Linked DNA regions of Lepisosteus oculatus. The protein of the gene in region 2 interacts with the protein of the main gene of each other region in a biochemical or structural test. Links are inferred from orthologs where the notes say so. Each region holds a gene or a part of one and is shown on either strand. Other genes may lie near its edges.

Evidence for each region.
Region 1: of the proteins of mcm7 (region 2) and dbf4, one has a biochemical effect on the other in vitro, tested with the Homo sapiens proteins (2 studies listed by BioGRID). The link is inferred for Lepisosteus oculatus from reciprocal best matches to the Homo sapiens genes MCM7 and DBF4.
Region 3: of the proteins of mcm7 (region 2) and cdc7, one has a biochemical effect on the other in vitro, tested with the Homo sapiens proteins (2 studies listed by BioGRID). The link is inferred for Lepisosteus oculatus from reciprocal best matches to the Homo sapiens genes MCM7 and CDC7.

The regions. Positions count from the first base shown.
Region 1 is NC_090705.1:6,476,523-6,480,269, reverse strand, and holds the start of dbf4 (protein DBF4 homolog A), read right to left. Parts: upstream 2,689-3,747; 5' UTR 2,581-2,688; intron 2,126-2,580; 5' UTR 2,075-2,125; coding exon 2,029-2,074; intron 1,361-2,028; coding exon 1,182-1,360; intron 404-1,181; coding exon 212-403; intron 121-211; coding exon 70-120; intron 1-69. Other genes in the region: mitochondrial glutathione transporter SLC25A40, read left to right, coding at 3,520-3,616. UniProt on the Homo sapiens protein: Regulatory subunit for CDC7 which activates its kinase activity thereby playing a central role in DNA replication and cell proliferation. Required for progression of S phase.
Region 2 is NC_090698.1:12,416,011-12,419,757, forward strand, and holds the start of mcm7 (DNA replication licensing factor MCM7), read left to right. Parts: upstream 1-1,168; 5' UTR 1,169-1,431; coding exon 1,432-1,618; intron 1,619-3,422; coding exon 3,423-3,502; intron 3,503-3,747. UniProt on the Homo sapiens protein: Acts as a component of the MCM2-7 complex (MCM complex) which is the replicative helicase essential for 'once per cell cycle' DNA replication initiation and elongation in eukaryotic cells.
Region 3 is NC_090704.1:1,478,231-1,481,977, reverse strand, and holds the start of cdc7 (cell division cycle 7-related protein kinase), read right to left. Parts: upstream 2,737-3,747; 5' UTR 2,574-2,736; intron 1,874-2,573; 5' UTR 1,857-1,873; coding exon 1,799-1,856; intron 891-1,798; coding exon 804-890; intron 634-803; coding exon 498-633; intron 1-497. UniProt on the Homo sapiens protein: Kinase involved in initiation of DNA replication. Phosphorylates critical substrates that regulate the G1/S phase transition and initiation of DNA replication, such as MCM proteins and CLASPIN.

The DNA.
Region 1 (3,747 bases), on a different chromosome or scaffold from region 2:
CCAGAACATATCAACATTCTATATAAAATCCTGCTTACAGTAGATGGAGACACTTGACAGAATATTTACCTGTTCCTTGACAACTTTTTCCACCAGTGATTTCCCTCTGCTTTTTATTGCCTGCACACAAAAAGGGCATTGTAACTATACAATCACAGAAATGCTAAGAGGAATGAAAAAAAATGTTAGGAAAAGTTCATAACAAACTCACGTCTGCAGCATCCTGCGAGCTTACTTTACAGCTTCCTCTTCGGCTGCTGAGGCAAGGCGAGCTGTTCCCAGTGGTATTGGGAGAGCCAGGGCTTGATAAAGGAGAATTTCTTCCAACTGATTTCACAAATTTTGCCTCTTTCTTATTGGAAACAAGATATCGAATGTCCTTGCTGAAGAACCTCTCAATGGTCTAAAATGAAATAAATCTGTTATACATGTAATGTAGACTTAATAAGAGCAGCATTACCACTTTAAAGCCCAATTTCATGTCTGCTTCCTTACTCAGTTTGTTATAACTGCTAGAGGGAATCAAGTCTTTCTAAGCAACCAGGATAGAGGAAAACTGAAGTGAGAGAACCATTAGGGAATTATGATAATGTGGCAAGAAATCCATTCAGACACATATCAGGTTCAAAGAAATGCCAGGCAAAAATAAATAGTTTTAGCCTCGAAAACAGAAATCTCACTCTTCATTCAAAACCCTCACAGATAACATAGATCCTACGGCCACTGGCAGAATCAACAGTGCGAATAGGAAAATACAAGTGGTAAGTAAGGGGAAGTACATTTAAAACCAGACTGTCACAACATTTTTATATATAAAGTGTTGTGACAGTCTGGAAAAATCTATCTTGTCAGACTTGGTTACTAAACCAAAACCTTTGCATCTTTCAAAAAACAACAAACAGCCTCCACATATGCAAACATGCTTGTGCCGTTATCATTTCTAATTAACTTCTTCAGTTTTCAAGACAAATACTTCCAAAGTTATAATAACTGTGGTCCTAAAGGTTTAGGTTTGTTCAGTCACAAAAGTAATAACTTTGAAAGTGGTAGAACAATAACAGCTTAGATCCATTGTTAAATCTGAATAATGCTTAATATTCCATATTTATACACACGTGGATACACAAAATACAAACAGTAAAATGCAAAAATATTCATATTTGTACTTAAAAATATCTTACCCCACCAAGCTTTTGAATGTCTTTCTCCAAGGCCTCAGTGGTCTTACTGAATGGCAGATCTAGATAAAATAGTTTTCCAGCCAGAGGTTTGGTTTTCAGTCCTGAAGACCCATTTGCTGTTTGCAGCACACTTTTTAATGTCACCTTGTTCTGCTCTGTTTTGTCAATCGATTTTGAGTCTGTTAAAGAATGGACACGATATCAGGGGTTTTTCAGGTTGCTCTTGCTCAAACAAAAACATAGGAGAGCAATTTTAAAGATTACACCCACATTTCCCAATAGTAGCAGAATAACAGCATGTCAGAGGGTAAGAAAAGTAGGTGAATGAAATGTAATGACCTGTTTAATACGCTTGCAAAGTTTCAAACATGCCAGATTGGGAAACGTTAGAAAATATTTTCCCATACATAAGAATACTTTTCACATTTCTCCATTTGCACTTTGAATTTGTGGGGATCATATATTTCATCATGCTTTAACAGACTTATAATACATTTTGGAGAATGTGTTTTTCTAATTTAATCAAATCCAACCTAGGACAGTAACAGATTCAAGTTACCATGCAGCTACATCCTTTCGAAAGAATAGCTCTGGGTGAGCATTAGGCTTCAATTTGACTCTACACTAAAAACAAATACTTAAACTTGTTACTCTATGTGTCATGTCTACTTATGTATATTTCTTCATATATTTTCTACAATAACTTGGCCAAAGTATTGATGCAATATCAAACAGTGTGTTTTGGTTAAGGCAAACAAGTTAAACAGAATACTTTCTGGTGATCTGCACAAAAATCTCAATATTCAATGACATTTTTCTCCATGGTATGTTTAAGAAACTAAAATACCTTGCAACTTGACATTAACATCCTGGGAGGTAACCCTATTTTTCATTTTCAGTATATATTACATTTGGGGGAGTAGGGACACCTTCTATAATGGCTTCTGTTGAAAGAAACATAGAAAAGACATCTAATAATGCACGCATTGTTTCAACACGAGTCGTGAGGATTTTATAAAGCAAATTATGATCCAGAAGTAAAGCAACATAGCTCATCGAAAAACATGAAAAACACCCTGCAAAAACATGTTGTTTAAAAAATTAATCAAACTACTGTGTTAATGTGCTTTTAAAAACTACACATATTTTAGAACAGTAGATCAGTTTAAAATTGCACATTGCATAAAATGCGTAGTCGTTACGAACGTACAGAAACACGTCTGCTTTTTTTAAAAAAAACTACCGACATTTAACTTGGAAGTAGACTGCTACTGTATGAGAGCAAACAACCGTGATAAGCCTGCTGAGAACGAACCGCATACTAACTCTTAATAGCCACGAATTATATCGAAATCAGATTCATAATGATTAATCTTGCCCACCCGAACAAAATACTTACCGTTATGAATGCTAAAGAATGAAACAATTCAAATTTTCCTTAACACAACTTTCTTCTTTCCCGCTTCGACTAGTTAGTATCCCAGAAACCTCTCTTTCAAACTATCTTCATTTTGGATTCCAGAGTTTCCGTCTCACTTTTTAAAATGCAATTTATGTTTTCTGTTCATTGCGATTACATAAGAGAACTTCTGACAAGTTAAATATAAAATAATTGTATTATTTTTAATTTTGTAAGAATTGTGATACGTAAAAAGTGTTATTTTTGTCGTTCATTTCTTCAAGGTTCGAAAAGTAAGGCATAATTTAAATGTCCGTGTTGTTGAATGTGCTGTGGCCAATGTGAGAATAGACTCATCGGCATAGGTCATGTGATCCAAGCATGTGTGCTGTGAGAACAGCATATGTAACACATAGGTCAGAGCCTTGGAGAGAATCCTGATGAGACATGTTGTATTGAAACCCTAACAGTTAGTTTACCTAAGTGTCTTTAATCTAATTTAATTAATGGTTTCGTTGCCTTTATGCTAACGATGAATAATTCAGATGTGGTACAGTGTCGATCTCGACATTTAACTGATGTGAAGAAAACAGCCAGGAAAAGAGCACAGCTGTACAGTTTGACAGTATCAGTTTTATTTTCTTGCCTTTGAAGAGTTAGCAAGGTAGGTTGTACGTATTGCACTCAGAAACATCAAATTTTTCCAGGGTGTTTTTCAAATAGTTTAAAAAACTTAATGGAGTTGAACTCGTTTAAGGGGAAAAACAATGCTTGTTTTATTCAATTAACAACAGTGGATTTAGAGAATGTCAAATATGCACATTCAGAACAGAGTGACATTGAATTTCACGTCTGAAGGAAAAAGCAGTACAGGTGTATGCCAGCTCGCAGTTTGTTTGTCTTTTGAGGATTGCCGTTGTATTCCTGATTAAGGACAAGATGAGTGGCCAGGGAACAGTGTCTGTGCTCAATGACATCACACCTGTCCAGCAAATGATAGCTTCCTCCTCAGGAGCGCTGCTTACTTCACTGTTTGGTAAGAAACTCTTTCATTATGTGCTAAGAGAAAATGAGTAATAGACTTCCTAATTATTGTTTTGTAGGAGTCTGGCATGAAAATGCTCGAACCAATGTGGGTTTATTACAGCTAAGCCAGAAAAAACAGAC
Region 2 (3,747 bases):
GGGGGGTGCCGCCCTGCGCCTTGCTGGGGTTCGGGACAGGTGACGGGGTGGAGGCAGGCTTCTCCAGGCCCTGCCCAGGCTGAAGGCTGCCTCCTCACTACGGCTCTCCGCTTCACTGGCAGCTGCAGCTGGGTAGACTGGGAGACCCCAGCACAGGTACTCTGTGACCCCTCTTCCAGTTGTTTCAGGTGATTAGACCAAGTTTTCAGCTCGGAGCTTTGTAATGTCCCTGCCTTGAGAGCGAGCATTCCTGGTGCTGGAGGCAGGTCTAATGTCTGAGTCTAACACCAGCGCATGTGCTGGACTGTACTCTGGGGGCTCCCTGGTCCTGGGGTCCCCCAAACCTGCAGCTGAGCTCCTTCCCCGACCCCCGGCCCACACTGGGCTCCTTCTCGGAGGCTGGAGATTTTAACCGCATTAACTTTGTTAATGGCTGGATGGCGCCTTACTGCATTTAGGAAACTTACTACGTTTAGGAATGAACCAGAAAGAAATCAAATTAAACTTTTGTTGAGTCTATTCGTTATGGGTCTCAGTTATTTAATTTAGAGTTAGGGTTAATTGGAGCTCTTGGATTTGTGCTTTATCGTCTTGGAGACCGCCTTTCAACAACCGAGTTTCTTACGCAACCTGAACGAGACTTTCGATTAGGAAGCGGAGAGATTCTGGAGACGGGTGGAGTGGGCAGGTGTGTCGTGCTCCAGCTGCCTCTCTGCAGCGGCGGGGTCGCGTCTCGGCCGCTGCTTTTGTTTCCTGGTGGAGAACCGCGCCAGGCGCGCGCGACCCCTGCTACGCGACCCCACCTCCAGGAGTCTGGCGTGCGCGCGCGCGCGCGACGCTCGAGAGCAGCTGCGCCTCTGACGTCACGCGTCGGGCTCTTTGGCGGGTGATGACGCGCTCGCTGTCGTGAAAGGCTCAGCACGCAGAGCGGCCACATCCGCCCGGAGTGGAGCAGGGGTTTGTAGTGCAGTGTGCGTGCGCGTAAGGGTGTGATTCTCCTGCGAACTTGATTTTTCTTTCCCGGATTACGTGGCGCGAAGGGTCGGGGTGAGGCGAGGGAGGCCTGAGACGCGGGGGTGGTGGTCGTGGTTGGTGTGATGTTTTCTTGGATGAAACGGGGAGCGGGCACTATTTGACGCGCGGAGGGATCGCGGAAGCCCCGCAGGGGGTGGCGAGGCCGAGCAGCCATGTGCTTCTTTGTTTACAAAAGCAGGAGTGAGGAGACGGCGGCGCGGCGTGGGGAGCAGCGCCGGGAAGGAGCCCCGAGTCGCGGCGAGAGCTCGGTGCCACGGGGCCGCCCTTGTCCCCGGCCGGCCGGCCGGCTGGGCGGGCGGAGGAAGCGCGGCGAGGGAGGTGCCGGGCAGCCGAGCTCCGTGCGGCGGCCGTGGGGTGGTTTGCGAGTTCGGCGACCGCGCTCCTGATGAAGCTGCAATGTCTGAGGTCCGCGTGTGTGTTTGTCCCGGTGTTGGTGGGCTCTCTTCCCTCCCCGATCCGAGTTCAGGCTCAGTTTTAAAGACGGAAGAACGGCCGTGGATTGGAGTTCGTGGGCGCCATGTGCGGCACTGTTTACTAGTGGACATCGACTCCCTCTCCAACAAAGAGATCAGCGCGGACACGGGTGGGGAGGTCCTCGCTGTCCCTGCGTGTGGGTGTTTTTTTTTGTTCCGCGGGCGAGCTCTGTTGAAAGCTGCCGTTGCGGGATTGTCTTTGTGAGTCTAGTTGGGCTGTTTTAAAACCGAAAGTGAAATGAACGGGTGAAAGCTGCGCGTGGGTGGCTTCTCGTGGTAAATTTCCATTGGTAGTGATGGTGGGGGTCTTCTGGAGACGCGCAGTGGAGCTTTAAGATTGTGAGGGTGTGTATCCGAGGCTTCGCTGAATTATTTCGTCCGGGGGATAATCTGAGACTCGACATTTTTTGACAGGCGGGCTGTGTTGTTGACATTTTAATTATGAATAAATACTGTTTAAACTAGTGTTTATGTTGCCTGCTCAATGCACGGCGCCGTTCAAGTTTGTACTACTCTAGAGTAGTTAACAGGCAGTCTTGTAACTTTTCTGTGGACTTGTTCATATGGAAACCTGCCTATGTAGATCTTATTTTCAGAAACACTTGTGCCGCGAACGCGTTGTATTTTAGTGGACATTGTAATTTGTCCACGCAGAAAACTTAAATCCAGGTCTGTGATATTAAAAAGATGTGTGACTCCACTGCATGTAGGGGATCATTTTCCGGGGCGCGCAGAGGAGCAGTCTCTTGAGTTTGTGAACTGAAGGTCCGTGATTTCGGTTCAGTGGGAGCTGGGAGCAGCGGTAGCGCTGTAGAGTGGAGTGTCACGGGGGAGGGGGAGGGGAGGTCACGTGCTCTTGGTTTTGTTTACAGCTGGAGCGGTGCGCGGATTGGCTGTCACTCAAGGCCGACTGCGCCAGCACGAGCCGCTTCCACGCGTGTACCCTGTGGCTCCTCTGCGCGGTTTTCCGATGTTGCGTTGTCAGCATGCGTTTCGCCGCCGCCGCTACTCTGTGTCGTGTGCGATAGCGGTTGTGTTTTGTGAGTTGAGAGCTGTGCTTTCGGCAGCACTGCTGTGATGAGTTTGCCTGTCTAGGCTGTCCAACTGCCCAGCATGGTGTCATGATTTAGGGAGGCCTATGTGGTTAGCATGGGCGTCCTCGAGCTGTGAATGCTGGACCCTCTCTGGAGCCAGCAGGGTTGGAATGTCAGAAAGCGATGGCACGTGAGCTCTGCCAGCCCGATCGGACAGTTCTGGGGGGCTCCTGTGCGTGGAGCCAGCGAGTGTCTGCAGTGTGGGGTGGAGAAGCCTGGCCTGCTGTGGGCTGGTCCCGTCGCCTGACACCAGATTAGTGGTCTTCAAGATTAAAGGCTTAGAAAGCTGTCCGGGGCCCTGCTGGAGGAGAGGCCGCTGGCGGCGGGGGGAGCTGGGCCTGTTCACAAGGCCTGGTCCTCTGCGTCCCTGTGGAGGACCTGTTGATCCAATAGAGGCGTTCAGAGCTGTGCCGCACGGGTGTATAGTGATGCCAGAACATGTTCGTGTGCCCCAGCTGTGTGGTGTGGCTTCAGTGTCTCTCCTTCGCACTGACCCCACTCTCTCTGTCTGCTTCTTTAACCTCTGCAGCAGTGCTGGAAAATCCCTTTTGGCTGGGACACAGGGTAACACTCTTCCAAAATTGCCCCCAAGAGTTCAGATCTGCCCCTGCCTCTAACCCACAGTTAGTTTTCCAGCCCTGAAGTCCTGCCTCTGGTGAGACAGGGTTTTCAGAAAGTACTGTGAACTTCGAATTTGAGTTGTGATGCTGTCGTGCAAGGCCTGAGGCCACGCCTGCTGCTTTCTGTTTTCAGTCCTGCCAGACAAGTGTCATGATTGCATTTAAATGCATTTTAAAGGTTGTGTCTTGTCTTCCTCCAGAGAAGTGCAGGAAGTTCCTGCAGGAGTTCTACACTGAGGATGACGCTGGGAAGAAGGTCTTCAAGTACGGCGTTCAGCTGGTGAGGGCTCGGGGCGTGGGGATGGATGTGGCCGTCCACGGCATGCTGTACAGCTAATCAGGATTAGCTGTTGGAGCGCGTGAACTGTGTCCTGTCTGCTTAGTCTGGGGCTCCCCCTACCTGCACTGGCAGCCCTGTGTCCCATCTGCTTAGGTTGGGGTTCCCCCTACTTGCACTGGAGCGTTGCCTGAGTGGAGTTGTCTCCTGTGACCTTTACGTGCTCTGCTTTGGTCATCAGAAATGTG
Region 3 (3,747 bases), on a different chromosome or scaffold from region 2:
ACCAATTTGACACTTTTCAAACATCGTCAATCTGTCGACCCCGTTTAAAGGGATCTGGAAAACCGGCCGCGCCCGGGCCCCGAAGGGCTGGAGCAGCGCTCCCCTACCGGATGCGTAGCACGATTCCCTGCAACGAGACGGCTCAAGGGCACGCCCTTCCATCCAGTCCACTTCGCGGTTCTGCAGCCGCCAGGCCCTGCATTCTCTCTTAGTTAGCAGCGTCAACACAGAAAGGACCAGAGTGGCACACATCCCATGACTGCAGCAGTGCAGGTCGGGAGGACCAGAGGCTGAGAAGCCACGTTCCAACAGAGGCATGGGAAGACCCCAGACTTATAAATCACGACCAGAACTGCCGGAAAAATATCGACATCACCAGAAAGGGGAACGCCTGGCCCTCCAGTCAAACAGAGGCCTGCTTTTAAAGGCGAATAGGCCGATTTGTTTTTATTGCTCAGGTCCGCGTCAGCAGTGGCGGCGACGGGCAGAGGACTCACCCTGCCACAGTCAGGCACTGCAGCTCTGCTGCAATCCGGACCGGGTGGCTGGTCGGGATCAGGTGCTTCAAAGCAAACTTCTCTTTCGCGCCAGACGTCAACCGTGCCTCCGCCAGGTACACCGAGCTGAACGTACCTGTTAATCCCAAACACAAACACTTCTATGACACATCCGGCGTGCACAGACCCCACACACTGGCTCTGGCTGCCAAACCACAAGACTGCAGCTGCTCAGCTACAGCGCTCCAGCTTCTTAAGCTAAAGAATAAGTTCATTATATTAGAAAATGCTTAATGCAGTTCAGACCTTCACCAATTTTATCCAATATGACGAAGATTTTGGAGAGCTGGGGTATGGCTTCATACAAGCTTTCAATATCCGTTTTGATTTCTCCTGTAAAGAAAATAAACAAAAAACAACTTAAACCAAACAATATTTTGTCCAAACCAAATATATATATATAAAGGCAACTATAAGGTTTCAGAGTTACAAAACAAAGAGGTTACTTCAGAATTGAATGCACGTGTGGTTTCCCGTGTGCCAGTAAGCCACCCAGACCTCAGAAATCAATACATCAGAATAATCACAGCTTTGGAGGGAATGGGAGTCAGAAGACGACACCCCATGCCTGCACAGCCAGTACAGAGAGGAGCGCCCCACAACCACAACAGCTCAGCGCTGACTCGAGACTCACCTTGGCCACACGGGACGCTTTCTGGGTATCCACACCGTCAGTACACTGCTCAAATCCTTACAGCACCTGCACCACGCTTCCAGCATGCTGCGTCTGTCATATCATTGTACTGTACGCCCCCCTGCCCTCTGGTAGGGATTACAGGACCATAAAGGCACGAACCTCAAGATTCAGAGGCGGTTTCGTCCTGCAGGCTGTCAGATGACTGAACTCTACCGCTACCACTGGCTCACACTCATGTTTATTTCCTCTTCTCACGCTGCTTGTCTGACTTGTATTTAAGTTGTACCTTATTTAACTTTGTTGCTGCTGCTGCTGCTGTTCTGTGTTTAAGTCTCCCTATCAGAGCACACATGCAAATCAGCATTTCATTGCACTTGTTCAGCACATGACAAATAAACGGTGCTGAACATCACTACCCCATCCTGCTCTGCTGCACGTACAGTACCCATCCGTTACTTGTACAATGGAAGTGTCATACGTATTGCAACCTCGGTCCTGAGGACCTGGAGACAAATCCTTCAATGAAGCAACAGGTTGCCTGGCTGGAAAAACTTCAAGTTTATTTTTGGGGTCTATTCGAAGGCAGCAGCTCTCTCCCACTTACGCGAGATGTAGTTTCCAACGCGCCCCTCCGGCTTCATCTGTAAAGGAGCCGACTCCATCTCCAATAGACAGAAACCTGACGAACAACAGAAAGTCACTTTTTTTTTTTGGGGGGGGGGGGCAGGTTCAAATACGTACCCAATAACGCGCATAGACACACACACACACGTCAAGACCGATGAGGTTTTCTCCTTTTTACGCACTGTTCTCTTTGTCTCTGTCAAACGATCACGTCTGAGCATCGCAGAAGAGAACAAACCCGAGGTGTTTTCGGGCCGTCCGCTTGCAAGGACGATAAACCCCCCAGACAGCTTGCAGCGTGCGACCCCCGGGAGCCCGCAGACCATCGGGGGGGGAGGGCACGTGTGCCACTTGTTTAACATCACGGCTTGTGGCACAACGCTCAGCGGGAACTTTTATTGTCCAAGTGCCATCCCGGGGGGAACAGCAGGAACAGCGCCCGGATAGCCGGGGCGCACACGCAACTCGCAGGAAAGCCGATTCACGCCACCGCCGCCACGTCGCCTCACCCCGCAAACTTCAGGACGAGCTACAACATGAAGTTAGGAGGGGGGAGCGCACGACTCATCTCCGATCAGCCCCGGCAGGACTGCCCTGTAAACAAACCCCGGGAGGCGACCCGCAGAAACAGCAACGCGAATATAACCGCGCGTCTGTCAGGGTCGTGTTGACTAAAGAACCCCAGCACAAAAACTTCCGACAGCACATCCGCCGCTAACCCCGCTCATCTAGAGGCTCAAAGGCGTCCCCGTTACCTCAGTACGGGAGCGGAGAGCCCAGGCGCTGCTGCCGGCCGGCCGCGTCTCTCTTCCTCCTCCCGCAGACGAGCGACCCGCGCAAACGTGACGTCAGGGGGGAGGGCGGGGCCGCGCAGCGCGAGAGCGAGAGCTTCCGGCTCGCTCCAGGGCCGTGCGTCGGCACGCGATGCAACCGCACTACCCCTCGTCCCCCGCAGAGCAGCGGCCTCACGCCGAACCATTGCTCTTGTGCACGGACAGCTCTTTGCAATGCAAATGAAAGACACACAAGGCTGCTGTTGTTGATGAGATATATATATATATTCTACCAAAACTTCTGTAAATTTGTCATGCCCGTAGACACTGAATCGAACTGCATGATCGACCCTTTCTCTTGCCCGTCTGTTTGCTGCACGAAGCCCACCATCCAGTTCCTCCAGTCTGATGTGATGCCGTTGTTGTTTGTTGCATCCCAAGTGTCTAGCGACTGGATTCTAGCTAGCGCTTTCCCAGGTGAGTATGTGAGGCTGGATAAGTGGGCGACGGGATAATCCTTAATTATCACATGATCTGCAGCAGCTGTGATAATAAAGCACTAGTTCAGTAATAGAGGTCATAGGCTTGTAATGGACTGGAAAGGCTGGCCTTTCCTGATGCCATGTGTTCGAGAGACCTGTAGCTCCTGAAGGCAGGGTTTTGGGCACTGATATACATGACAGGGTGTCCAGTCCTGGTCCTGGAGGGACAGTGTGTCCGCTGGTCTTCTAGGTCTCTTCAATGCTGCAGCATTCCAGACCTGGGGACAGTTGTTAAATGGGACCAGTTCACCCAGTCACCAGCAGGTGCAGCTCATTAAGAGCTGAGCTGGAGTGAAGACCCACAGACACACCAGCCCGCTGGGACCAAGACAGGACTCTGCTGCTCTATAAGGACAAACCTGATGTGAAAAGGAACTTGCGTCTGCACTTTCCTGCACATTAAAAACATACATGACTCTGTTTATTAACAACATGCATTTTTTTGCATATGGTTGGCTCAGCACAAATACTGTCCTTAATGTGTAATTTAAAAAGGGTAAATATCTCACTTAAAAGCACTGTTATAAACTTGCTAGTTATGAAACTAAGGGAATGATGACTTTCGTTCATTGTAAGGTGTGACTAAGCTGTGCATGACGAGGGTGCTATGAAAT